Oryctolagus cuniculus: one gene and its partners. The protein of the gene in region 1 purifies or fractionates together with the protein of each later gene. This does not show direct contact. Links are inferred from orthologs where the notes say so. Each region holds a gene or a part of one and is shown in the gene's direction. Other genes may lie near its edges. The genes, in order: PRMT1, HDAC1, CHTOP, ALYREF, EP300, SERBP1 and KPNA2.

The links.
Region 2: the proteins of PRMT1 (region 1) and HDAC1 purify together in Homo sapiens (affinity purification with western blotting; 3 studies listed by BioGRID, with this or other methods). This does not show direct contact. The link is inferred for Oryctolagus cuniculus from reciprocal best matches to the Homo sapiens genes PRMT1 and HDAC1.
Region 3: the proteins of PRMT1 (region 1) and CHTOP purify together in Homo sapiens (affinity purification with western blotting; 7 studies listed by BioGRID and IntAct, with this or other methods). This does not show direct contact. The link is inferred for Oryctolagus cuniculus from reciprocal best matches to the Homo sapiens genes PRMT1 and CHTOP.
Region 4: the proteins of PRMT1 (region 1) and ALYREF purify together in Homo sapiens (affinity purification with mass spectrometry; 3 studies listed by BioGRID and IntAct, with this or other methods). This does not show direct contact. The link is inferred for Oryctolagus cuniculus from reciprocal best matches to the Homo sapiens genes PRMT1 and ALYREF.
Region 5: the proteins of PRMT1 (region 1) and EP300 purify together in Homo sapiens (affinity purification with western blotting; 4 studies listed by BioGRID, with this or other methods). This does not show direct contact. The link is inferred for Oryctolagus cuniculus from reciprocal best matches to the Homo sapiens genes PRMT1 and EP300.
Region 6: the proteins of PRMT1 (region 1) and SERBP1 purify together in Homo sapiens (affinity purification with mass spectrometry; 3 studies listed by BioGRID and IntAct, with this or other methods). This does not show direct contact. The link is inferred for Oryctolagus cuniculus from reciprocal best matches to the Homo sapiens genes PRMT1 and SERBP1.
Region 7: the proteins of PRMT1 (region 1) and KPNA2 fractionate together in Homo sapiens (co-fractionation; 3 studies listed by BioGRID, with this or other methods). This does not show direct contact. The link is inferred for Oryctolagus cuniculus from reciprocal best matches to the Homo sapiens genes PRMT1 and KPNA2.

The regions. Positions count from the first base shown.
Region 1 is NC_091449.1:7,826,829-7,829,250, reverse strand, and holds part of PRMT1 (protein arginine N-methyltransferase 1), read left to right. Parts: intron 1-1,389; coding exon 1,390-1,545; intron 1,546-1,624; coding exon 1,625-1,688; intron 1,689-2,422. UniProt on the Homo sapiens protein: Arginine methyltransferase that methylates (mono and asymmetric dimethylation) the guanidino nitrogens of arginyl residues present in proteins such as ESR1, histone H2, H3 and H4, FMR1, ILF3, HNRNPA1, HNRNPD, NFATC2IP, SUPT5H, TAF15, EWS, HABP4, SERBP1, RBM15, FOXO1, CHTOP, MAP3K5/ASK1, MICU1 and NPRL2.
Region 2 is NC_091438.1:140,146,351-140,148,539, reverse strand, and holds the end of HDAC1 (histone deacetylase 1), read left to right. Parts: intron 1-249; coding exon 250-402; intron 403-768; coding exon 769-817; intron 818-1,088; coding exon 1,089-1,116; 3' UTR 1,117-1,689; downstream 1,690-2,189. UniProt on the Homo sapiens protein: Histone deacetylase that catalyzes the deacetylation of lysine residues on the N-terminal part of the core histones (H2A, H2B, H3 and H4).
Region 3 is NC_091438.1:44,665,075-44,668,574, reverse strand, and holds the end of CHTOP (chromatin target of PRMT1 protein), read left to right. Parts: intron 1-496; coding exon 497-634; intron 635-2,269; coding exon 2,270-2,475; 3' UTR 2,476-3,483; downstream 3,484-3,500. UniProt on the Homo sapiens protein: Plays an important role in the ligand-dependent activation of estrogen receptor target genes. May play a role in the silencing of fetal globin genes.
Region 4 is NC_091448.1:1,021,319-1,025,430, forward strand, and holds ALYREF (THO complex subunit 4), read left to right. Parts: upstream 1-1,312; 5' UTR 1,313-1,465; coding exon 1,466-1,702; intron 1,703-1,958; coding exon 1,959-2,090; intron 2,091-2,750; coding exon 2,751-2,898; intron 2,899-3,422; coding exon 3,423-3,486; intron 3,487-3,561; coding exon 3,562-3,733; intron 3,734-3,820; coding exon 3,821-3,835; 3' UTR 3,836-4,112. Other genes in the region: ANAPC11 (anaphase-promoting complex subunit 11), read right to left, coding at 930-1,038. UniProt on the Homo sapiens protein: Functions as an mRNA export adapter; component of the transcription/export (TREX) complex which is thought to couple mRNA transcription, processing and nuclear export, and specifically associates with spliced mRNA and not with unspliced pre-mRNA.
Region 5 is NC_091442.1:117,220,126-117,223,625, forward strand, and holds part of EP300 (histone acetyltransferase p300), read left to right. Parts: intron 1-349; coding exon 350-427; intron 428-548; coding exon 549-658; intron 659-2,047; coding exon 2,048-2,185; intron 2,186-2,524; coding exon 2,525-2,959; intron 2,960-3,500. UniProt on the Homo sapiens protein: Functions as a histone acetyltransferase and regulates transcription via chromatin remodeling. Acetylates all four core histones in nucleosomes. Histone acetylation gives an epigenetic tag for transcriptional activation.
Region 6 is NC_091438.1:105,138,149-105,141,648, forward strand, and holds part of SERBP1 (SERPINE1 mRNA-binding protein 1), read left to right. Parts: intron 1-1,432; coding exon 1,433-1,583; intron 1,584-2,418; coding exon 2,419-2,559; intron 2,560-2,670; coding exon 2,671-2,760; intron 2,761-3,274; coding exon 3,275-3,394; intron 3,395-3,500. UniProt on the Homo sapiens protein: Ribosome-binding protein that promotes ribosome hibernation, a process during which ribosomes are stabilized in an inactive state and preserved from proteasomal degradation.
Region 7 is NC_091448.1:13,973,730-13,977,734, forward strand, and holds the start of KPNA2 (importin subunit alpha-1), read left to right. Parts: upstream 1-1,205; 5' UTR 1,206-1,340; intron 1,341-1,578; exon of another isoform or gene 1,579-1,710; 5' UTR 1,711-1,954; coding exon 1,955-1,976; exon of another isoform or gene 1,977-2,088; intron 2,089-2,322; exon of another isoform or gene 2,323-2,341; intron 2,342-2,434; exon of another isoform or gene 2,435-2,592; intron 2,593-2,849; coding exon 2,850-2,947; intron 2,948-3,086; coding exon 3,087-3,224; intron 3,225-4,005.

The DNA.
Region 1 (2,422 bases):
CCTCTACTGCGCCTGCGCAGCTGGTACTCCTGGGTCAGCTCGGCCCAGCCGTTGCCTTGGAGACCAAGCCTGGTGCTCTGTAGGACCCGAGCCTGGGTGGGCGCGCGCGCATGCGTGCCTGAGCCCGCCACGGAGGTCACGGCCTGCCGGGCCTGCCGGTCTCTGCCGCCCTCTAGTGACCGGCAGTGGGACTGCGCCCCAGCCCCCGTGGCTTCCGAGTCCGTTTCACCGAGAGACCATGCAGCTGGGGTGACATTCCAGGACGTTTCTCCCTTGGCTGCTTGCTTTTTTTTTTTTTTTTTTTTTTTGACAGGTAGAGTAGACAGAGACAGAGAGAAAGGTCTTCCTTCCCTAGGTTCATCCCCCAAACGGCCGGCGCTGTGCCGATCCAAAGCCAGGAGCTTCCTCCTGGTCTCCATGGGGTGCAGGGCCCAAGCACTTGGGCCATCCTCCACTGCACTCCCGGGCCACAGCAGAGAGCTGGCCTGGAAGAGGAGCAACCGGGACAGAATCCGGCGCCCCGACCGGGACTAGAACCCGGTGTGCCGGCGCCGCTAGGTGGAGGATTAGCCTAGTGAGCCGCGGCACCAGCCCTGCTTTTCTTATTATAAAATTGCGTTGTTCATATAGATGTATTTTTCTTAAATCTACATTTTAAAAATCTTTTAAAGTCTCTGGCGAAGGCAGAGAGACAGAGATGTCCCATCAAATGCTCCTAAGCGCCAGGGCTGGGCCAGGCTGACGCTGGGAGCCAGGAGCTCCACCCAGGTCTCCCACGAGTCACCTGCTACCTGCCTGGGCTGTGGGGGCGGAGCAGGGACGCCCCCAGGCGCGGCCGTGCTGTGGCAGACACCCACCCTGTGCTTATACTCTTTCCCCTGTTTTAATTCATCTTATTAATTTGAAAAGCAGAGTGACAGGGAAAGAAAGCCTCCGTTTGCTGGTTCACTCCCCACAGGCCAGGGCTGGGCCGGCCGAGACCAGGAGCCTGGACCCCACCCAGGTCTCCCACGTGGGAGGCGGGGCCCAAGCGCTTGCACCACCTTCGGCTGCCTCCCCAGACGCACTAGCCGGGAGCTGGACTGGAAGTGGAGCATCCGGGACTCGAACTGTGGTTGTGGGTCCCAGGTGGTGTTGGCTTGGCTCGCGCGCCAGGGCTGTGTGGTCTCCGTCATTCCAGTTCCTGTCCGTGCGCTGCTGGAGGGAGCCCTGCAGACCCCGGCTGAGCTGAGCTTCCTCCCCCGGTCTGATTTTTACAAGTAGGAAAACAGGTGCACACCTCCCGGTGTTGTTTCCAGGGCTCAGAGCCCGCAGTGGGGCCGCCCCCGGCCGTGCAGCCCGGCTGTGGGGGGCTGGCGCCCTCATGGTGGCCGCGTGCTCTCGCCCTAGGAGATGCTGAAAGACGAGGTGCGCACGCTCACGTACCGCAACTCCATGTTTCACAACCGGCACCTGTTCAAGGACAAGGTGGTGCTGGACGTGGGCTCGGGCACCGGCATCCTCTGCATGTTCGCCGCCAAGGCCGGGGCGCGCAAGGTCATCGGGGTGAGTCTGGGGCGTCTGGGCGGCGAGGGCGGCCAGGGCGGGGAGCTGCCGGGGGCTCACCCTTCTGTCTGGCCCCCAGATCGAGTGCTCCAGCATCTCTGATTACGCGGTGAAGATCGTCAAAGCCAACAAGCTAGACCACGGTGAGCCCCGGAGGAGGAGGGGTCTGTGGGGGCGGAGTGGGCGACCCCCAGTCCCACAGGGCACAGCTCAGAGCAGGACACGCTGGCCGCCTGCGGAGAGAGAAACTCAGAATTGCAGAGAGGGAGAGGGAGAGAGAGAGAGGTCCTCCATCCGCTGGTTCTCTCCCTGAATGGCCGCCATGGCCAGGGCAGGGCCAGGCCGCAGCCAGGAGCCAGGAGCTTCATCCAGGTCTCCCACGTGGGGCCATCTTCCACCACTTTCCCAGGCGCATTAGCAGGGAGCTGGATGGGAAGTGGAGCAGCCGGGACTTGAACCGGTGCCCGTGTGGGTGCTGGCGCTGCAGGCAGCGCTTTACCCGCTGCGCCACAGCTCGGGCCACGTGCACGGTTCTCATCGGCATCTTGTGCAAATCCATTGCCCTTTGCCCTTTGCTGTTTGGCTGCTGCAGATGCTGTTCTGTCCCCTGGCTGTGTCCTGCGCCAGGTGCCGCGGCTGTTTGTTTCTTTTTTGTAATGTGAAAGACACACACACACACACACACACACACACCCCGCTGGCTCCCTCCCCAGTGCCTGCAGCAGCTCGGGCAGGGCTCCCCCAGGCCTCCCACGGGGGCAGGGCCCGGCCTCGCGAGCCTGGGGGTGCCAGGAGGTTTCCCAGGTCCGAAGGCTTCCAGGAGCGGAGGCATTCTTTCAGCGGATTCATTGGAAAGGCTGAGGGAGAGAGAGGTCTG
Region 2 (2,189 bases), on another chromosome or scaffold:
ACAGACTCTTGGCCTCCGCCTTCTACTCAGCAGGCAGCTAGGGCTTCCCTCCGCCATTTCTGCCTGCCTGCTGAGAAACCTGGAAGTTCTAGGGCCTGCAGGAACAGGCTGGGAGTCAGTTCACTCCCTCACCTCCTTGTGGTCCCCATCCCTTGGTTGTCTCTGAGGACACACAGCGAAGCACTGAACATAGACCCTGGGATTAAAACCTCCTGCTCTCACCCAGACTTTCCATCTCCTGCCTCCTAGTCTGTTCCTCTGACAAACGAATTGCCTGTGAGGAGGAGTTTTCCGACTCCGATGAGGAGGGAGAGGGCGGGCGCAAGAATTCTTCCAACTTCAAGAAAGCCAAGAGAGTCAAAACAGAAGATGAAAAAGACAAAGATGCTGAAGAGAAGAAAGGTAGGTCTGGATGTCCAGCACTGGGGTCTCAGCCCACGCCCTGCCACATCTGCAGGGATCAGGGGCTCCCAGAAGCAGCAGGGCCCACAATGCAGTGGCTCTCACATACCACCCAAGCGCTTTTCCCAGCACTCACCCCAGTTTCCCAGGGGGCTGCCTCCGCCCACCAAGCTCTGGCTCAGGCAGGCTGGAAAACCGGTCCAACCTGTCTGTTTTCAGCAGGGCTCACTGGGAGGGCCTGGGATGGGCTTTTCTCTTGTTCTAAGTCCAGTAAGCCATAGTGCTGGGAGGGGGTTTTGGGGTAAAGACTGTATGGGTCTCTCCAGAGGGGCTGCCCTTGATCATCCCTGCACTCTTATGTTCTAGAAGTCGCAGAAGAGGAGAAAACCAAGGAGGAGAAGCCAGAAGCCAAAGGGTGAGGAAGGAGCTGTCTGCCTTGGTGTTGGAGCATCAGCCCCTTTGTCCCACTGCTCTGAGAGGGAAGGCACAGGGACAGCTGGTCCCACTTACAAAGGCCTCTTTCAGGGACCAGTCTGTCTGTCTCTGCAGCTCTAGGCAGAGCTAAGAAGCCCCAGCCCCCGGCAGTCACCTGGGCAGCCTGGGCCTGAGGAAGTCATTGTATCCCCACTCTTGCCCCAAGGCCTCTGGGGTGGGTTATCTCATGCCAGTCTCTGCTTTCTCCACAGGGTCAAAGAGGAGGTCAAGCTGGCCTGAGCAGACTTCTCCAGATCTGGCTCCTGGCCAGCTTTCCCACCTTTCTCCCTTAACCCCTCAAGATTTTATATTTTCTATTTCTGTGTATTTATATAAAAATATATTAAATATAAATATCCCTGAGGACTAGACAAGAACCAAGGCCCTGAGGCCAGGGTAGCCAAGCTGGGTAAACTCATAGCCGCTGCCCTGCCAGCCATCCCTCCCCAGTTCGATTTTAAACCACGAAGGGCTCCAGGTGTGGGTAGAAGGGAGCTACAAGACACGCCGGGGTGTGTCCCTAGCAGGTATGGAAAGGTGCCCCCTGTTGACCATTCTAGGAGGGTAGGGGTGGCTGGGTCTTCAGGGACTTCCTGTTCTTTCCAGCCCCTAAGGTAACGTTAGCCATTTTTAGGTTGGTTCTGTTCTCGTCATACCGTCCCGCTGGCCTCAGGTGAGCCCCGAAACTAATGCTGCCCGCCCTCGGTCTTCCCCAGCTCTGCAGGTGGAGGCTGGCGGCCTAGCTTCCTTTTTGAGATACTATTTTCATTTTTGTGCGACTCTTTGTAATAAAATGGTACCTTTCTATACCCACCTGAGCCTCTGTTTCCTGGCACTCCCTGGGTTGATGTCAGCTCTGAACTCCCTGCGTTCTGGTGTACGGGCAGGGCAGCCCTACGACGACAAAGCCCGTAAACTTACCTGCCTTCTAGTTTGCTCCTGGCTGGAGGTTAACTAGTGTCCACAGATCTCACCCCATCCCCAGAAGACCAGTCATTAAAGCACCACTAAAGGGACAACATTTATTCCTTTTCCAAAGGTTACAGTAAAACCAGGTGGAAGAGAATGGTTTTAGCAATTAGAAAAAAAAAGTACAAATCTGGGGTTTGGCCATTAAAAGTTATTTACAACAATGGGAGAAAAAGACAACAAGAAGTTGTTTCACATTACAGACTTCCCCCACCCCAAAGCCTAATACTTGCTTACCAAGTCAAAAAAGAGACACAGTTGATTCACAAGCTGGAGGTTTGAACTTGAGTAAGACATTTATAAAAACCCAGACAGGGGCAGTGTCCTCCCCAGCCCAGGTGCCA
Region 3 (3,500 bases), on another chromosome or scaffold:
CTAGAAATAAGTCAAATGTAAGAACTTTGTTGGTCTTTTGACCTATATCTTAACCAACCATCTCTGCTCCTGGTGCTGGTGAAAAACTACTGTATCTGGAAGAGAGGACAAGTTGACCCATAGCATTTAACTTGTATCTTATGTTTTGGGCAGTATTATACTGCCATGTATAGTTTTTCATTCCTACAAGAATGTATTAAGAGCAGGAACCGTTTATTTTAAATCTATAATGCTAGGCATCTATCTGATTATTCAGTAAATATGTATTAAATGTATGTACTTACTACCAACTTCTTCCAAAAATGGATTTGTGGTCAGACTTGTTGAATTGATTAAAGAGCAGCTTTTTAATCTGCTCACATTGTGTGTAGTTTGCCCCACCCAACCTAAAAATTAACTCAATTACTCATTTAACCCTCACTGCCTTCCTTTGGTCAGAATCTACTTTGTCTCTCTTGGATTTACCTGCATATACATTGTGTGCCTCCTCTCCAAGGTCAAAACCTGCTCCGAGGTGGACGAGCCGTAGCTCCCCGAATGGGCTTAAGAAGAGGTGGTGTTCGAGGTCGTGGAGGTCCTGGGAGAGGGGGCCTAGGGCGTGGAGCTATGGGTCGTGGCGGAATCGGTGGTAGAGGTTAGTCAGCTACCAACTTCAGAGAGTAGCTCCCTTTTATTTTCCTCCCTTAAAAACTCAGAGCCACCTTTCTGCACAGCTTCAAGTCGTAGACAGGCTTGTATGTTTGTCTTGTTTTGTTTTTTGAAACTGGCTTATTTTCCAAATTCACATGCTGGTAGTGCAAAAATCTGTCATTTTTCCAAGAACCAGTCAGGTGTGTATTAGCCAGATTATATGTAGTCTTCCAGACTCTTGCAGATGTAAATTTTATTATAAAAATGACTAAATAGTTTGGGATCTTTTCTGTCTCTGCTGAATCATCACCACACACACACACCCCTCATAGCTCAAAACACCAGCTTGAGTCAGATAAGAATAGAGAAGAGGGAGATGTGCAAATATGAAGGCAGAGTGAGGTAGACTTGGAGCCGGGCACTGTCTCTGAAGCCAAGTTCAGCATGCCTGTGGGGAACCCTAGATGCCTCTTTCTGATCAAGGTGGACAGTAAGATGATACTCTTGTCAGTGAACTCACTGGCTCTTGATGATTATACCTTTGAGAAACTTGGTGATACTTGTTTTGTGACCTCATGACCCAGATTGGAAAAGCTTAGTGGTGGTGATGGTGTTACTGCCAAATCTCATGGGAGCTTTCTGACTTAGCTTAATGAAACACTCCCAACAACACCTGTAGGGGAAGGGGAGACCTGTTCTTATGGTCCCTTGTTTATATTCCTTTGGTCCTTTTAAAGTGTGTGGTGGGTCTTCCATAATTTATGACCATGAAGCTGCCAAGGAATATTAACTGTAGGAAATCTGATAACCAAGGGCTTGTTTGCTTTCCCATTATGTGCTACTTGGCTTATTGAGTGAATTGCAAAGGAGTTTGAGTTTCGGGATGAAATACCATGTTTCTAGAATTATCTTGATTTGGTTTCTGAGAGACATCACAGGGGTGGCAGAGACTAAAGTAGCTTTTCAAAAAAGCGAGTGTGCTTTGTTAAGTGAATTGAAACCACCTCTCAAATAGCCACATTGTCCTAAGGTGACTAGAATCAGAGGTAGACGGGGCTAGGACCATTCAAAATGTTTTTTTCCATCTTCTCACATTATTCCTGTGTCAAAATAACTCCTCAGTCTCCTGACACATGGGGAAGTCAGCTTGTTAGACCTCACTAAGTTTAAAGAGAGATGAGATCATTTTCCTGAAGGGTCTCCAGTAAAGCTTCATTTGGAAACTATCTGCCTTCACACCCTTGATTCTCTGTGCCCTTTCACTTTCTTTCTGTCTCGCTATATGGGGTTATCTCTAATGGATTTCAGTAATGAACTGATAGTGAGGTCTCAAACTTTAGGTTATTCTTTGTCTTAGGAAAGATTAATTTTTTTAATTATTATAATTGGCAGCTATTTTCCCTTTGATCGGATAATATTTTAAGTAGCATTTAGAGATGAGCATGTAATAAGGAATTCATTATGTGTGCTTTCCATGTGTTGCTTTCTATCCAGTGTGTGTGTGTTTCCAGATTTCTCCTTTACCCTGCCCTTCAGCTTTTCTCAGCTAGGCTCCACTACTCTTAGGGGCATTTACTATAGCATTCATTAAGCCTAATTGTAACTCTTGTTTTTGTTTTTGTTTTTTTCCTCGGGCCAGGTCGGGGTATGATAGGTCGGGGAAGAGGGGGCTTTGGAGGCCGAGGCCGAGGCCGTGGACGAGGGAGAGGTGCCCTTACTCGCCCCGTATTGACGAAGGAGCAGCTGGACAACCAGTTGGATGCATACATGTCGAAAACTAAAGGACACCTGGATGCCGAGTTGGATGCCTACATGGCGCAGACAGATCCTGAAACCAATGATTGAAGCCTGCCCACCGTTGTGTGAGAGACTCTTACTAAAATCACCACATCTGTAAATAACCTTGAGATAACAGTTGAAAAGAAACCTGATTGATGCTGGAAGGACCTATCATAATAGGCTATGGACTTAACCTACCACCAGTTGTGCATTTAGTGTGTTCCTTTGACTTTTTGATACTGTGTTGTATGAAACCCTTTTTCTCTTGATTTGGTTGGGCTTTGCTTTTTTTCTTTGTTGTTGTTTCCTTCGCAGACTTCTCTTTGAACATGAATGTGTTGGCCTTACGGCTAGGATACCCTCTTCCTACCTCTGCCTCCCTTCACCTGCCATATACTCTAATCTTCATTTCCTCGGTTCATCTGTGTTCCCTCACAAAAAAGTCCTAGAAAGAGCCACTGTTCCTCCCTAATGCCTAGGTTTCTGAGATTAAGTTCTGTATAATAACCTCTTAGAAGTGTTCAGAACATCTGGAGCTCAGAAATGTGTTGATGATGCAGTATACAGTGTAGTAAATTGGGAACACTGACATTGCCAAGGGCCAAAAAACAGTTTATAGATGGTAGAAGCTCAAGTTTGATTGAAGTTGCTACCATGTGCAGTAACACGTGTGGTAACTAGGCTTGCTGGGTTGGGTAAGATCCTTTCTACCCACAAATGAGATTTATACACTCTCCTCTTGGCTTTGTATTTCCCAAGGGATTGAGCTGGTTTAACTCCTTCATATAGAAGAAGAAAGCCATTTGGTTTGGCCAGTGCGTCAGAAGGTACGGGGATGGAAGAGCAGTGGCAGACTAATTGCTGGGAGGATCAGAAAATAATACCTGGGCTGAAAAGCAATTAGTCTCGTGTTTATTCCAAACCAGTCTTGGGTTTCTCCACTCACTGATTCTGTCTGAACTCCTCTCATTTCCCTTGAACGTTTAAGTAATTTCAACCATAGTCTGTCAACTGTTCCAGGTTCTGTGAAATCTTGTGTATTTCTGATTCATTATAACAAACTGTTCTCTCAAATCCAGCCAGGATTTTCT
Region 4 (4,112 bases), on another chromosome or scaffold:
CCAGCGCTGAGTGCCTGGACGCCCCTCACAGGCCCAGTGCCGGCCACGCGAGAAGACACGACAGGCAAGGCCACGGTTAGAGACACTGCCTTGGTTAGAGACGTGGGCTCGGGCAGCTTCCTCGGGACTTGCCGAGGTTAACAACGTTGCTCTGAAAGGTGCAAGCCCTGGCCTCGGGCTGTGTCCCGCCCTCCAGAGCAATCTAAACGCTGAATAACGCCAATTGCTAATCTCTGCTACCAGGAAAAGCCAATCAAAGGGCCGGCCTGGAGGGGATGACCCCGGGGCACGACAGAAGAGGGTGTGGAGAGAAATCCACTCCCAGAGCCCGGCACCCACCCACCGACCCAGTCCCGGCGGGCGATCGCTCCTGATGAGCTCTCTCTCCAGCCAGGGTGGAAGGAAAAACTAAACCACAGTTAGGGGCCCGCGCTGTGGCACAGCGGGTAAAGCCACCGCCTGCAGCGCCGGCATCCCGTATGGGCCCCGGTTCGAGTCCCGGCTGCTCCACTTCCCACCCAGCTCTCTGCTGTGGCCTGGGAACGCAGTGGAAGACGGCCCGAGTGCTTGGGCCCTGCACCCGCGTGGGAGACCCGGAGGAGGCTCCTGGCCCTGGGTCGGCGCAGCTCCGGCCGTTGCAGCCATGTGGGGGGTGAACCAGCGGATGGCAGACCTCTCTCCCCGCTCTGCTTCTCCGTAACGGATTCTCAAGTAAATAAGTAAATCCTAACAGGCGCCGCGAGCCGCTGCCACCGCGCCCCAGGCGAGGGCGGTGGGGGCTCCGCAGATTTCTCGGTGCAGGGGCCGACGTGCGGCCTCCTCCTCCCGTCCGGGCAGGGCAGCGGCGATGGCCCTGCGCCCCCGGGGGCACCCGGGCGGCGTTCCGGGCCGGCCTCGCGCTCTCCGCGACCGCCCTTCCGGGCACTCACAGTCGGGGCAGCAGCCGTTGAACGCCATCCGGCAGATGCCGCAGTTCTCGTCGTTGGCCACCCAGAGCCAGGTGGCCACGCCGTTCCAGCACTTGATCTTCACCCTCATGGCGCCGGGGCCTGCGGGCCGGGAGGGGCGCGCGTGAGCCGGCAGACGCCGCGACCCCCGGCCGCCGCCGCCCGCCGACCCCGCCCCTCGCCCGCCCGGCCCCGCCCCCCGCGGCCGCCCCAATCCCCGGCGCCCTCGCACCTTGTGCGACCTGACCGCGCGCCGCCCCGCCCTTCCGTTGGCGGCGCCCGCGTCCGCGCGGGAAGGTATAAAAACGACCGCGGCCGCGGCCGGCAGCTCCAGTCCGCGCCCGCCCGCTCCGCGCGCACTGCGCACGCGCCCCTCCGCCCCGCGCGCGCAGCCGCCGCCCGCCGCCAATCAGCGCCAGCGCCGAGGCCGCGGCGCCGGAAGTCCGCGCGCGCCGCCGGAAGTGACGCCGCGGCGTGCTGACGCGCGGGATCGAGCTGAGGCCGATTCGGCGCCCGCCATGGCCGACAAAATGGACATGTCTCTGGACGACATCATCAAACTGAACCGGAGCCAGCGGGGCGGCCGCGGCGGGGGCCGGGGCCGCGGCCGGGCCGGCTCCCAGGGCGGCCGCGGCGGCGGAGCGCAGGCGGCCGCGCGCGTGAGCCGCGGCGGCGGGCCCCTCCGGAACCGGCCGGCCATTGCCCGCGGCGCGGCCGGCGGCGGCGGCAGAAACCGGCCGGCGCCCTACAGCCGGGTGAGTGCCGGGCCGGCCGCCGCCGCGGGCGGCGGGGGCGAGCGGGGCCGGGGGTGCGCGCTGCGGGGGCCGGCGGCGCGGGGCGGGCCGGGCGGCGGCGCGGGCGAGGCCGCGCGGGGGAGCCGGCCGGGCGCCGGGGCCTCCTGGGGTCTTTGTGTGGCCGGGGCGCGCGGGGCGGCGGGAAGTGCGTGGGGGCGCGCGGGGCGGCCTGCGGGGAGGCTCACGCTCCGCCCCGCCGCGGCGCCTCCTCCCGCAGCCGAAGCAGCTTCCCGACAAGTGGCAGCACGACCTGTTCGACAGCGGCTTCGGGGCCGGCGCCGGCGTGGAGACGGGCGGGAAGCTGCTGGTGTCCAACCTGGACTTCGGCGTGTCGGACGCCGACATCCAGGTAAGCGGCCGGCCGGGGCTGGGCGGGGGGCCGAGGCGGGCCGGGCCGACCCCGCGAGCTGGCAGCCGGGCGGCCTCGGACCCGCGTGGGTGCAGCCTTTCTGGTTTCCCGCACTCTCTTTTGTCTTTTTTTCCCTTTTGCTCTGAGCCCAGGGGGGCTGGCTCTTGCCTGGGGCTGACTGGTAGGAGTCCGCCTTCGGACGGCCGGCGGACGCTGGGCCTGAGCGCTGGCTTTTTCTAAGGTGGTCTCTGGCGTCCACTGGAAGCCGCTCTCGGTGACCTCCTTCCCGCTGTGCCCGCGGCCGGCGTGTCCCACTCTGGTTCCCTCTCCGACGCCCAGCCTGCCTGGGGTCAGGCGGCTCAGCAGCACTTGGCTGCGGGCGTGGGGCGGAGAGGGAGGGGGAGCCAGCCTCTGCCGGGGGCGGGGGCGGGCCGGGCAGCTGCCCCCGCCGCCCTGGGCGCAGTCAGTTTGCTGGAAGTGACGGCAGACGCGGGCTTTGCGATTCCATCCCCTGCAGCGAGGCGCGGATACGCAGCGGCCCTGGGCCCCGGGCGCTCTCGGAAGCTGCTGTGTCTGCGGCCCGGCCCTTCCCCCGCACCCCGGGAGACGCCCCACGGCGCTGGGCCTCCGGGGCCTGGCTACAGCTCTCTGTCTGACCAGGAGCTGTTCGCGGAGTTCGGGACGCTGAAGAAGGCGGCCGTGCACTACGACCGCTCCGGCCGCAGCTTGGGCACGGCAGACGTGCACTTCGAGCGGAAGGCGGACGCGCTGAAGGCCATGAAGCAGTACAACGGCGTGCCCTTGGACGGTGAGTCCGGGACGGGCTCGCGGAGTGGGCGGCCCCGGCCCGTAGCAGCGGCTTGCCCTCTGGCTGAGGACACTTTGCATTTGCCCCTTTGTCTCTCTCTTCCATTCTGCCCCGCACATCGGGACCAACCTCTTGTGAACCCCCATCCAGCAAGTACACCCTCCCCTCAGCTCCTTCCGGAAGACTCACTTCTGTGAAGCCTTCTCAGAACCGCCATAGTACACCTCTGAGTGCGGGGCTGTAGTCGTAAAGACAAAGGTACCGGTTCTTCTTCGTCAGGCCGCCCACACCTGTCCGCCCACGAGCACCCCGGACACCACACCTGACCAAGCAGCCCGAGGATGAGGCGGTGTCGGCGGGGCCGCTGCCCTCGCCGGAGCCCCCGCCAGGCTCCAGGCCACCTCCCCGACGGGGGCGCTGGACACACGAAGGCCCTTGCCAGCGCCTGCATGGAGCGCAGGGCGTGGAGCCGCTGGGCGCTCCGAGCCGCTGGTTAGAACGGGCCCCTCTCGCTCTCCGCACAGGCCGCCCCATGAACATCCAGCTCGTCACGTCACAGATCGACACCCAGCGGAGACCGGCACAGAGGTGAGGCGCGGGCCGCGCGCGGGCCGGGCGGCCGTGGGGGCCTGCCAGTGTCTGAGCGAGCGCCGCTTCCCCCAGCATAAGCAGAGGCGGCGTGACCAGAACCCGCGGCCCCGGGGCCTTCGGCGGCGGCACCCGGAGAGGCGCGCGTGGCGGCAGCCGCGGCAGGGGCAGAGGCACCGGCAGGAGCGCCAGGCAGCAGCTGTCTGCAGAGGAGCTGGACGCCCAGCTGGACGCCTACAACGCCAGGGTGAGTCCCGCGGGGCCGGGAGCGCGGCTGGCCCGGCCGGCCCGGCCCGGCAGCCCCTGGTGAGCTCCCCTCTGTTGCCCTTTGCAGATGGACACCAGCTAAAGGAGGCGAGCGAGCAGAGCGGGACCGACACGGCGTCCCTGTGCCTGGCGGGAGGGCGGCCGGCGCTGTGTGGCCAAGGATGCGTTTGTTTCTTTTGTGTTTTAAAATAGGATTTAAGAACTCATGTAAAGGCTTTTTTTTTCTTTTTCTTTTTTTTTTAAATTCTGAAACAGACCTGTTTTGTACTGAGTTATTTTTGGGATAAATTTTACTGGTTGCTGTTGTGGAGAAGGTGGCGTTTCCACCTTTGCCATAATAAAATAGAGATGTGTGTAGA
Region 5 (3,500 bases), on another chromosome or scaffold:
ATGGACTGTGCTATTGGTGTGAGTGTAAATGCTGGTTTGTTCCCTTAAATGCATAGATTCGGTCTAGGTCTGTCATGTAGGTACAGGGGTCTAAGCACTTGGGCCCTCTTCCACTGCCCTCCCAGGTGCATTAGCAGGGAGCTGAATTGGAAGTGGAGCAGCCAGATCTCAAACCAGTGCCTATATGGGATGTCAGTGTCACAGGTGGCGGCTTTACTCACTACGCCGCAACACCGGTTCCCCAAGTGGCATCTAAACTACTACACAAAACACCTGCCCATATTTTGTTTTCCAGTAAAGGGCAGCCAATGCAGGGACTTCCTTAATTTATTTCTCTTTTCTGCCCTAGATGGTCCTCTCCCTGACCCAACTATGATCCGCGGCAGTGTGCCAAACCAGATGATGCCTCGGATAACACCACCATCTGGTAAATTTTATAACCGGGAAGAATGAGTTACTAGTTTTGATAAATGGTGACCAGATAGAGGAATAGTGCCTCTTATTCTCCAGAAGGGTGCTGAGATTTTATACTCTGCATGTATTCATAGGTTTGAATCAATTTGGCCAGATGAGTATGCCCCAGCCCCCTATTGGACCCCGGCAAACCTCTCCACTTCAGCACCATGGACAGTTGGCTCAGCCTGGAGCTCTAAACCCGGTTGGTTTGATTTCTTTATGTAATCTGTTTGGATTTTATAGGGGTTTTCTAAAAATTCTTGTTTTTGCTTCAAGAACAAAACTTCTCATACTTGCCTAGACACAAAATACAAGAGCTTGTTGTTACATTTTAATTGTTGTATTTTGCCCTTAATATAGATGATTATATGTATTTCAGAGATGAGACTAAATAGTTGCATTATGTTAAAGAGGTGGAGTGACAGGAATAATTATTACTAATGGGAAACAAATGCTGAAATCTCTTCTGCTTATCTCTTTCACTTAACAATAGTTAGAAATCCCACAGAAATAATTACTAAGGGACTTGGTGATGCAGTCTGAGGAAAGGGTGTTACAGTGTGCGAGGATATAATGTGATGGAAGTTCATGTGAAGAAGAGTAGAGTGTCTTGATTACAAACAAGTCAGTCTGTGTAAAATAAACACTAAAAAAGGCTCACATCCAAGCAAATACTATTCATAGTTGTAAAAATCATAGCATTAGAAAGTTGACAAAAAGCAGCCAGTACCCTCTCTTTGGAGTCCGCATGTCCAGTAGCCTCCCCACTTTTTTTCAGTTTACCTCTCCTCCATAATAATTACCTTCTCTTCCAGGCAGTGAACTGTGGATCTTTGATAAGAGCAATGGGGGAGCCATTGCCTGGTTCTAGAGACTGAAGTGGAGATGCTGAGCATACCCGGACTCTTAACCGACATTGGCCCAGCCCTCACCCTGTCCTGCTAGTTACCTGGCACCTCTGTTTCTTGAGCCTTTTTAGGGTTTTGCAGCATTGATACTTTTCACAGCTGGCAACATTCAGCAAGGAATCCTAGTTCTCATGTTAATCTATAAGGCAGATGCATTTCTTTAACTGGTTGAGATTTTTGCTTTTGGTAATCCAGATTTCCATCATCTGTTAAAGGAAACAATCCAAGAGCAATTGTGGGCCATGAATGGTGCTAGATTCAGCCACGTCCTGTAAGGGTTTTACTTTTCTTTTCCCACACATGGAATCTGAAAATTTTTACTGTTGCCATGCCACTTACAGTGAGCAAAGAGCCCAGGATGTTGTGCTTTGGTCCTTCACTTAACTTAGAGTGTTCAAAGAAATGGCTAGCTCTTTTCCTGTTAGTTCCAGATAGAGCGCTGTGTGTCCCCATCCTCCTGTAACTTAGAGAAGCCATGACATGAGACCATCCCCATGGTCTAGGCGTAAAAGTCAGTTCTTCACCACTTTTCTCCTCTCTCTCCCTGCCCCTCCCTTTACCTGTTTTCCTTTCTTCTCTTTCTCTGCCCAGTCAACCTGACAGCAGGGCCAAATTAATGGATGATTCCAATTGTGATAGAAGAATCGTAATGAAGCAGTTTGGTACTTTGTGTTTTTTTGCAGCCTATGGGCTATGGGCCTCGCATGCAGCCGCCTACCAGCCAGAGCCAGTTTCTTCCACAGTCTCAGTTCTCATCACAGGGAATGAATGTAGCAAATATGCCTTTGGCTCCACCCAGCGGTCAAGTACCAGTGTCTCAAGTATGTCTCACAAGGGGACCTTTGCCCTTATGGGGATGGGGGAGGGGGAGGGGATTTGTGAATCTTCTGTTAGGTTTTTGCCCGGAAGAGTGGCAGCAAATAGTGGGTGATGTTTAAAAATATGAACACTTTTGGATTTAGGGTATTCTGGATATGAAGAGATAATTATGTGTATAACAATGGCTTTGTTAAAAAAGTAACACATAATTTAAATTTGAGGGTTTTAACCCTGTGTTGTTATTTTACATTTAATTAGTTTGTGTCCTAAATGCCTATCTGCCTATGTAAATTTTCCTTCATTCTGTTTGAATTATCATCTTAATGACTTCATTTTAACAGGCACAAATATCTGGTTCTTCCTGCCCAGTAAACTCGCCTATAATGCCTCCAGGATCTCAAGGAAGCCACATGCACTGTCCCCCTCTGGCACAACCCCCTCTGCATCAGAATTCACCATCTCCTGTACCTAGTCGTACCCCGACCCCTCACCACACTCCTCCAAGCATAGGGGCCCAGCAGCCACCAGCAGCAGGGATCCCAGCCCCTGTCCCTACACCTCCTGCCATGCCGGCCGGGCCACAGCCCCAGGCTCTGCACCCTCCTCCGAGACAGACACCTACTCCGCCCACAACACAGCTGCCTCCCCAAGTGCAGCCGTCGCTCCCTGCTGCTCCTCCAGCCGACCAGCCCCAGCAGCCCCGCTCTCAGCAGAGTACAGCAGCCTCGGTCCCCACCCCGACGGTGCCACTGCTGCCTCCGCAGCCCGCCACTCCGGTAAGCGGAGGTTTGCATTTCAGTGGAACGGTTTCAGCGCTAATGTAATATTGTGTTACTTTTGTGCCATTTTTGATTCCATGATTCATCTCTTACTGTTGTCTCCATAAGTGGAATGGAATGTTTGATTAAGAACATTGCCCCCCCTACTCTTACTGCCTTCGATAGTACTTAACGTAGTAGGAACTCAAAGATTTTGTTTAGGTCTTTCATTATTGTATGCCATGTAGTATTCTGGGGCCTAAAAGCATAGAGCATAGCAAGAGGTAAGAGGCCCCTCTTGCTTCCTTAGTGTGACAGTTAGTGTACCTCCTGAATTTAACATATATTTAAAAACCCTTTTCTAACGTTTTAAGGTTCAGTACTCAAAGATTGAATCTCTGGCCCTAACAAAGGTTAACAAAGTCATGGTAAAGAGACAAGAAATACAGACCTAAATCTCTACAGCTTCCTTGTGAGAGGCTGATTATGTGTAGAGTAAAAATCTAAATTCCTGTCTAGTAGTTGAATCCTTAAAAATTGAACCTGTGTATTGTTAACA
Region 6 (3,500 bases), on another chromosome or scaffold:
TTTTAAATAATAGTCTGGAATCTAGTGCAGTTAGTGGGCTTGCAGGTATGTATTAATGTATCAGAAGAAACTTTTTTTAAAAAAAAATACCAATTATTTCGCGTTAGATGAGCCTATTTAAATTTTTCTAGATCCTGCAAGATAGTATTGGGTGGGGAAGCAAGTTGTTAATTGGGTGCATTTGGCTTGGATAGCCTGGGAATTGGTTCTATAGCTCCACCCCAATACATTATGCCTCTGATGACATTTATTTAAGTGCCTCAGTGTAAGGTCTGACATTTGTGGTCTATTCTGAGAGTTTATAGGGAATGAACCTTAACATTTTAATAACCAGATTGATAATTTAGTGTTTGGTAACAGGCTGCTAAATGATTGGGTATGCCCTGATTGTGTTCCACTTTCTTAGAAAGAACCCAAGAGAAATAACTTCAGATTTTGTAAAACCAATTTCTTAACTGCTTTTTGACTTTGTCAGAAATTGTGGTTTGGTAATTTCAGCATACCTGAAATTTCAGTCATGAATTTAGCCATCAATCTGTTTATCCTAAGGTCACCAATAATTCATGTTGGTTTGGACTTAAGGCATTAACAGGAAAAAAAACAGTATGGGGGTAGGAAATCAGTAACTAATTCAGATATCTTCCATAGTTTCTGATAATACTGCTTCTGTGTATAAATGTGGTTTTATAAAGATTTTTTGAAAACAAACATACGTGTTAGAGTAAACCTAAAAACAGACTTTCTCCATTCATATTGATAAATAAGCTATTTTCCTAGTGGTTACATGAGAATTTTTTTTTTTAGCTAGGTGTCTAGTGTAGATGTTTGTGCACGCTTTTCATGTATTAGATATTTACAGAAGATAGTACTTTTCTGGTTAAATAACTATTTTAGATGGTGGATTTTTTTAAATAACATTAAATACCATTTGTTTTCCTTTCAGTGTGTAATTTCATAGAATTATGGGTCTTTTTACTCAATTTTTTTTCAGATTATATAGACTAAAATAGCACGACTTTTTTTTTGGTTGATTTAATTGGTTACTTATGAATGACTGTTGGTATTATTTTCTTTGATACTTTAAAGCCAAAATGTATCTCTGGTCTACAGTTTCTTTAAATTATCAATAGGCTGACATCTTGAAAAAGGTGAGGCGGAATGACTGCTCAAATGACTTCAAGACAGTTATAGAGAATGCTTTAATGTGGGAAGATAACTTGGCAAACTAAATAGAAGTTCACAACAAACTTTGTTTTTAAGAATTTCCCTAAAATACTTTGTTACACATTAGGAATGGTTGGTGTTTGCTTTTTCCAATGGGAAATGCTAGTTAGTGGACTGAAAAAGTAGCACTGTGGTTTTTGGATAGCCTAGGACTAAACTTTTTGTATTGCAGAGATAATTTGCTTATACAGGTTATCTAATGTTCTAGGAATAAGACGTGTTGGGAGAAGACCTGATCAACAGCTTCAAGGTGAAGGGAAAATAATTGATAGAAGACCAGAAAGGCGACCACCTCGTGAAAGAAGATTTGAAAAGCCACTAGAAGAAAAGGGTGAAGGAGGAGAGTTTTCAGTTGATAGGTAAGATTTCTTTTTTAGAAAAAGTCTTTTCATGCTTTGTCAATGCATAGTCCTATATTAACACAAAGCTGTCACTTGGGCATCATTGCCAGGTAGCAGAGAGGCTGATCGCATTTACCAGTTTCTGAGGTATCTGAGTATATTGTTATCCTCAGACCTTTGGATAACAGTCCAGACTTAGATTTCTAATGAGGCAGTTTCAGTTGAATTGATGGCCACTGTCATTTCTTTGCTCTCCCCAGATTTTGACTTAAAAGAAAAATGCTCTTTAAATAGTAAAAAAGGTTATTCATTCTGCAGGTTAGTTGTGCTTAATTTAGTTTTTAAATGTATTGGAGAATAATCGTGTTACTTGATTATAATCAGTGAATAATAGTGAAAACTAGTAGTTATGCACTAGTAGTAATGCTTTGGAGCAGGGGTCGGGAATGGCCAACTTTTGGGCTGTGTGAAGTGTAAGAAATTATTCGGTTTGGTCTTGCCAAGGCAACTGCAAGTGGGACTTGAAATTCAGGAACTTTTGCAGGCTAATTTTTTTAAGTTGATAATTTTGTATGACCTGAGAGTGATGTTATAAACATACAAAAGGCCCTTGGCAGAAAAAAAGGTTCCCTACCCCTGTGAGGATTCCAAAAACAGTTTTCTTCTGAGAATGGGAGCTTCCTGGTTCTGATTTCCTTTATGTGTTTAGAAATAGACTAGAATTTTCTAAAGCATGTCTTTAACTGATGATTTATGAGCCAGTAAATATGTGTTTTTGAGTGCTTGAATAGATTTCTCTTACTCCTTTTTTTGGAAACCATGGAAATCTAAATTTTTAAATTTTGTATTGTAGGCCTATAATTGACCGACCTATCCGAGGCCGTGGTGGTCTAGGAAGAGGTCGAGGAGGCCGTGGACGTGGAATGGGCCGAGGAGATGGATTTGATTCTCGTGGCAAACGTGAATTTGACAGGCATAGTGGAAGTGATAGATCGTAAGTCTTAGATTGGTTTTTATTTTATGTTTATATTTTAATGCATTTATTTAATAAACAAAATTTGAATTTCTAGAACTAAAGAGTATTATGTTAACTCAGTTTTGTTAGTTCTTTTTCACATTACAGTGGTCTGAAGCACGAGGACAAACGTGGAGGTAGCGGATCTCACAACTGGGGAACTGTCAAAGATGAATTAACGTTGGTATTCCGATTTTTTTAATAAAATTGATCCTAAACTAATCTAGAGTCTTAACCTATACATTTATTAAATTTTGTTCCTGGAACAAGAATGGATGTTCTTATTTCAGAGATATTGTCTTAAAAGACAATGCCTTATGGGATAGATTTGGGTTACAGTATATCAAATGAGCAATTATTCTATACTTCTGTATACTTGTATATGTTACTAATTTTTTTTCATGTGAATATAAAGCTTTTCTTGATATTTTACATTGAAGTTACTTGAGGATTCTAATGATTTCCTTTGTGTCTGTAATAGTTACTTTTCCAGCTGCTTACATTCTGGTTCTTGTTAACTTGTGAATAAGCCTGTGAATCACCAGTAGTTGATGTTGTTTTCTCTTAGAGCTGTACTGGGGAATAAATTTAGTAGGAAAAGACAAAAGATTATGAAGTTTTTAATTGTTACGAAGAACTCTTTGGCTACACGTAAATGGATCTAGATGCTTTTCTTTTTCTTTTCTTTCCTTAGAGAGTCCCCAAAATACATTCAGAAACAAATATCTTATAATTGCAGTGACTTGGATCAATCAAATGTGACTGAGGAAACACCTGAAGGTGAAGAACATCCAGTGGCAGACACTGAAAATAAGTAAGTGGTTTTGATGTAGCAGTGATGCTTCAGCAGTGAACACAGTTTGGGATTTTACTAGTAAGATGTCATTGACTTCATGTGATTTGATGCATTTTTGACAAGA
Region 7 (4,005 bases), on another chromosome or scaffold:
GGGTTTGAATGTCAGGAACAGAGAGAGAGAGAATGTGAGAGAGCACTTCCAACCACTGGTTTACTTCCCAAACACCAGTTAACAGCCAGGGCTGGGCCAAATTGAAGCCATGTGTGACAGCGCAATGTACTTGAACCTTCACCTCTGCCTGCCATGGTGTACATCAGCAAGAAGCTGGTTCGGAAGTGGCGTATCCAGAAGTCAAACCCGGCACTCCGCTGTGCTGCATCAAATTCCTATCTCATAATCGGTATTTTCAAGCGAAAGGAACTGAAGTAACAGCATTGGGTCCTGCGTACCTGCGGAGGTGAGGCAGGCTGCTGCCCAGAGCTCAGCTTCTTTACAACTTGGTTATTCAGAGTCTCAGGACTCCCAGCCTTCTATTCAGATCAGAGCTGCTTTCCCACCTCCAAGAATTAAACAAAAGGCATAGGCTTCCCAACTGGATGAATTTAGGTCATGTGCCGGCCCCGAACCATTCCCGGCAGCCAAGAGGAGGCCCTGCGCTGATTGGGTCGGGAGGAATTCCTTCCACATTCTTGCACGGAGGGGCATGGGGATACGCCGAGTGGGAGTAAGAGCAGCTCCTGTGAGCCCCTTGGCTGCTGTGCTACAAGGGAGCAGGCGTCGGTTCCTGCAAGAATTGGCAAAGTTCAGTTTGAAATTATTTTATAGTAAAAGGATCAATGCAAGTTTCCTTTAGAACACAGAAGAATAGCAGAAAGAAAACAAATGGCTCATAATCCTGATGCTAACAACCATCCTTACTGGTTAAAAAGAAAGAACATGACAAAAACTGCAGATTTTATTTGGAAATGCATTAAATACAACATAGACCGTTCCTGGGACAACTGGCAAAGCTGAACACAGAATATGATAAGTAATACCAGGAGAGTTCAGTTTTCCTGAATTGGATGACTGCTGTGTGATTGTATCAACGAAAGATAAGCTCTCTCCCCCGGGAGACGCATTCTAAAATGTTAGGGTAGGACATGCTTTTTGAAACTTTCAAATGGTTCCAAATATACACGCACATGCACAGAAAAACGGGTGTTTCCCTGTAAATATCGCAAAATGTCAGCATCTGGCAAATCTGGGTGAAGATTAGCAATTCTTTGACATTAAAAATTTGTAAAACGTGTTGGGAGAAGCAGACATCATAAACCGTTTGTTACCATCGCCGAAGCTTCTACAGCCTCTTATGACGCAATTAAAAAGACCCAAAAATTCCGACGGCAGGGTGCTTTACTCCCCGCTCCGTCCGCGGCCGAAAGCCTCGCCCGGTTCCTCCGGTTCTACCCTCAAAACGACGCGAAATGCCCTTCACACAACTGTTTTAGGTATGATGTCTTGAGAACTTTTTAAAAAAAATTGTAAGAATTTATTGATACATTGGATCCTCAAGGTCACAGCAGAGTTTTTTCATTTTCTCGGTATTTGCTTAACCCAGCCGCTCAAAAACGAACAAACAAAAAAACGACCAAGGAGCAATGCGCGGAAACGCGCAGTCAGTGGAGGTTGACAGACGGGGCTGGGAGCCGCCCCATCGCGCGGCATGCCGGGATCTGTAGTCCTCCCACTCCGGCCTGCAAGGCGCTCTGGGATATCGCCCGACCGCTCCTTCATCTCGCGAGGCTATACTCCGCTTCTAGGCCCTCTGACCCTCCTCCCCTTCTAACGTGTTTTTTAAATCCACCAATGGGTACAAAGCTTAGGCTCGAACTGGCCAATCGGAACGCGGAGCCACCGGGAAATTTAAATCGCGCCGGCCGGCTGCACGAGGCACACCGTCTCAGGGCTGATCCGCGGTAGACGTTTGCAGGGCGGCTGACCGGCAGTCTGTGGACACGCACCGCCTCCTGGGGAAGCCTGCGTCGGCTGTGCAGGTACAGCGTGAGGCCGCAGCCCGGCGCGGGCGGTAACGGCTGCCCGGGAGGCCGCGCTCGGCTTGCGGATGGCGGGAGGGGAGGCCGCGGGTACGCGCTGGGCCCGGCTGTGGCCTCCCTCGCGGATGAGGCCTTCGGGGCGTCGTTGAGTGTCGCGGCGGCTTAGTGGGCGGCGCGGAAGCTGGGGCTCCGGGGCGCCGAGGTTCGGGAGGCGGCGGCGAAAGCCGGAGCGCGGCGGGCTGGAGGGCGAGAGGCCGGCGGAAGGGCCGGGGCGCCGGCCTCGCCTCGGCGGGCCCCGCCGCGTCGTCCCTGGGGCGGGGGCGGAGGTGGCGGTTGGGGCCGAGTGAACACGGAGGTTCCGGCGGTGCGGGGTCGCCCCGGCCGCGGCCCCCGCGAGTCCAGGCTCTGGCAGTGTAGACGTGTGCGCGCCGCCGAGGCGCGGCCCCGCGCTGCGGGTGGGCGGCGTTCGCGGGGAACGCCGGGGCAGGCTCGGCGGGGTCGGGGTGCCCGGGGTGGTGGTTTGCCTGCCCGCGAGCGCGGCGGGGGTCCCTGCTGGCCCCCGAGGGTCTGCGTTCACTGCCGCTGCCCTCGTCCGTGGTGGGCTGTCGGGGGCCTGGCCCGGAGCCTCCCTGCCCGGGACGGGGGCGCTGGGGAAGGGGCGTGAGCGTCCAGAGACGCGAGATGGGATAGAGTGAACGATCCCTCTGTATGTGGAAGCGATAGTGTTTTGGACAGTTGTGTTAAGCAGTGGATCATTCCCCCTTTGGCCTTGTCAGTGTGGTGCCGGGCAAAGGGTGGGCAGTGCTGCTCCAGGGGGGCTTGGACCCTCGGAGGGGGGGGGGTTGTAGGAGCGACGGCCTGGCGTTCCTCCTGCAGGGTGGGGGTTGCTGGGCTTCCTGCCCTTGGGGTTCCGTTGGACAAAGCAGACTGGGAAACCGGAGTGTTGCCCTTCCTGCCTTCCAGCTGATTCCTTCGGTCTCGTCGCCATGTCCACCAATGAGAATGCCAACTCACCGGCCGCCCGGCTCCACAGATTCAAGAACAAGGGGAAGGACAGCACCGTGAGTACCTGCTGCTTCCCCGTGGGAGCTGCAAGACAGGAGCTGGGGTGGGAAGGGGGGGGACGGGAAGCTTTTTCCTTTTTTTTTTTTTTTTTGCAACAAAGTCGGATAGGTGAGGGGATGTGTGTCTTGTCTCAAGGAAATGAGACGGCGCCGAATAGAAGTGAACGTGGAGCTGAGGAAGGCCAAGAAGGATGACCAGATGCTGAAGAGGAGGAACGTGAGCTCCTTTCCCGACGATGCGACTTCGCCGCTGCAGGAAAACCGCAACAACCAGGTAGGTTCTGCAGCGGCTCGGCGTGTTTCTGACATCTCAGTTCCGTTCCTGGTGTTGGGCTTTAATGGTCACCTCTGTGAAGATTTCTGACTCCCCTTCGCGTGCCGGCTGCGGGGCTGTCTTGACCCGACCGCTCCGCTGTTGGCTGGCGCGTCCAGAGCCAACCACTTCCTGATGGGTTTCTGCCTCTTCTGGTGTTCTCCATTTCTTTTATTTGTTCACATCTTTTCCCTCCTGAGATCTTAACAGTAGCTTGTAATTTATCTTTGGCTTCATTCTGTACCATATACTTTTTTCCCGAAACACAATCATACCATATAACGTTTTGGTCAACAGTGGACTTCAGCATCATGGGATCTGACGAAGTGGTAACGGAATTGGTACATGAGTATATAGCTGAAGAAGAGGCAAGAAAAGGGAACTTATAGGGGGAAACGAACCTCCAAGAAATTGACAGTGACAGTTTTAGCAGAAGCTTTTGTGAAACTTGGCAAACTCCTGAAAGAGCTTGAAAATATGGACGTGAACGCTGAGAGGTTTCTGTCGGTAGGAAGGAATGTCATGGCACGTTAGCTGCTTCCCGCTGGTCTGCGATGGAAGGGAAATTCTCCACGGACGGACATGCGTGTTTCAGAGCAGCCCCTCGGGAGGAGCCTCGTGCAGGTCTTCCGGAGGCCATTGCTGTCATGGGAGGTGACGGCTCCATTCATGTCCCTGAGACCTCAGTGATGCCTAGACCCTGAGTAGACCCGGGACAGTGTATGTGATTGTTTGCTTTTAA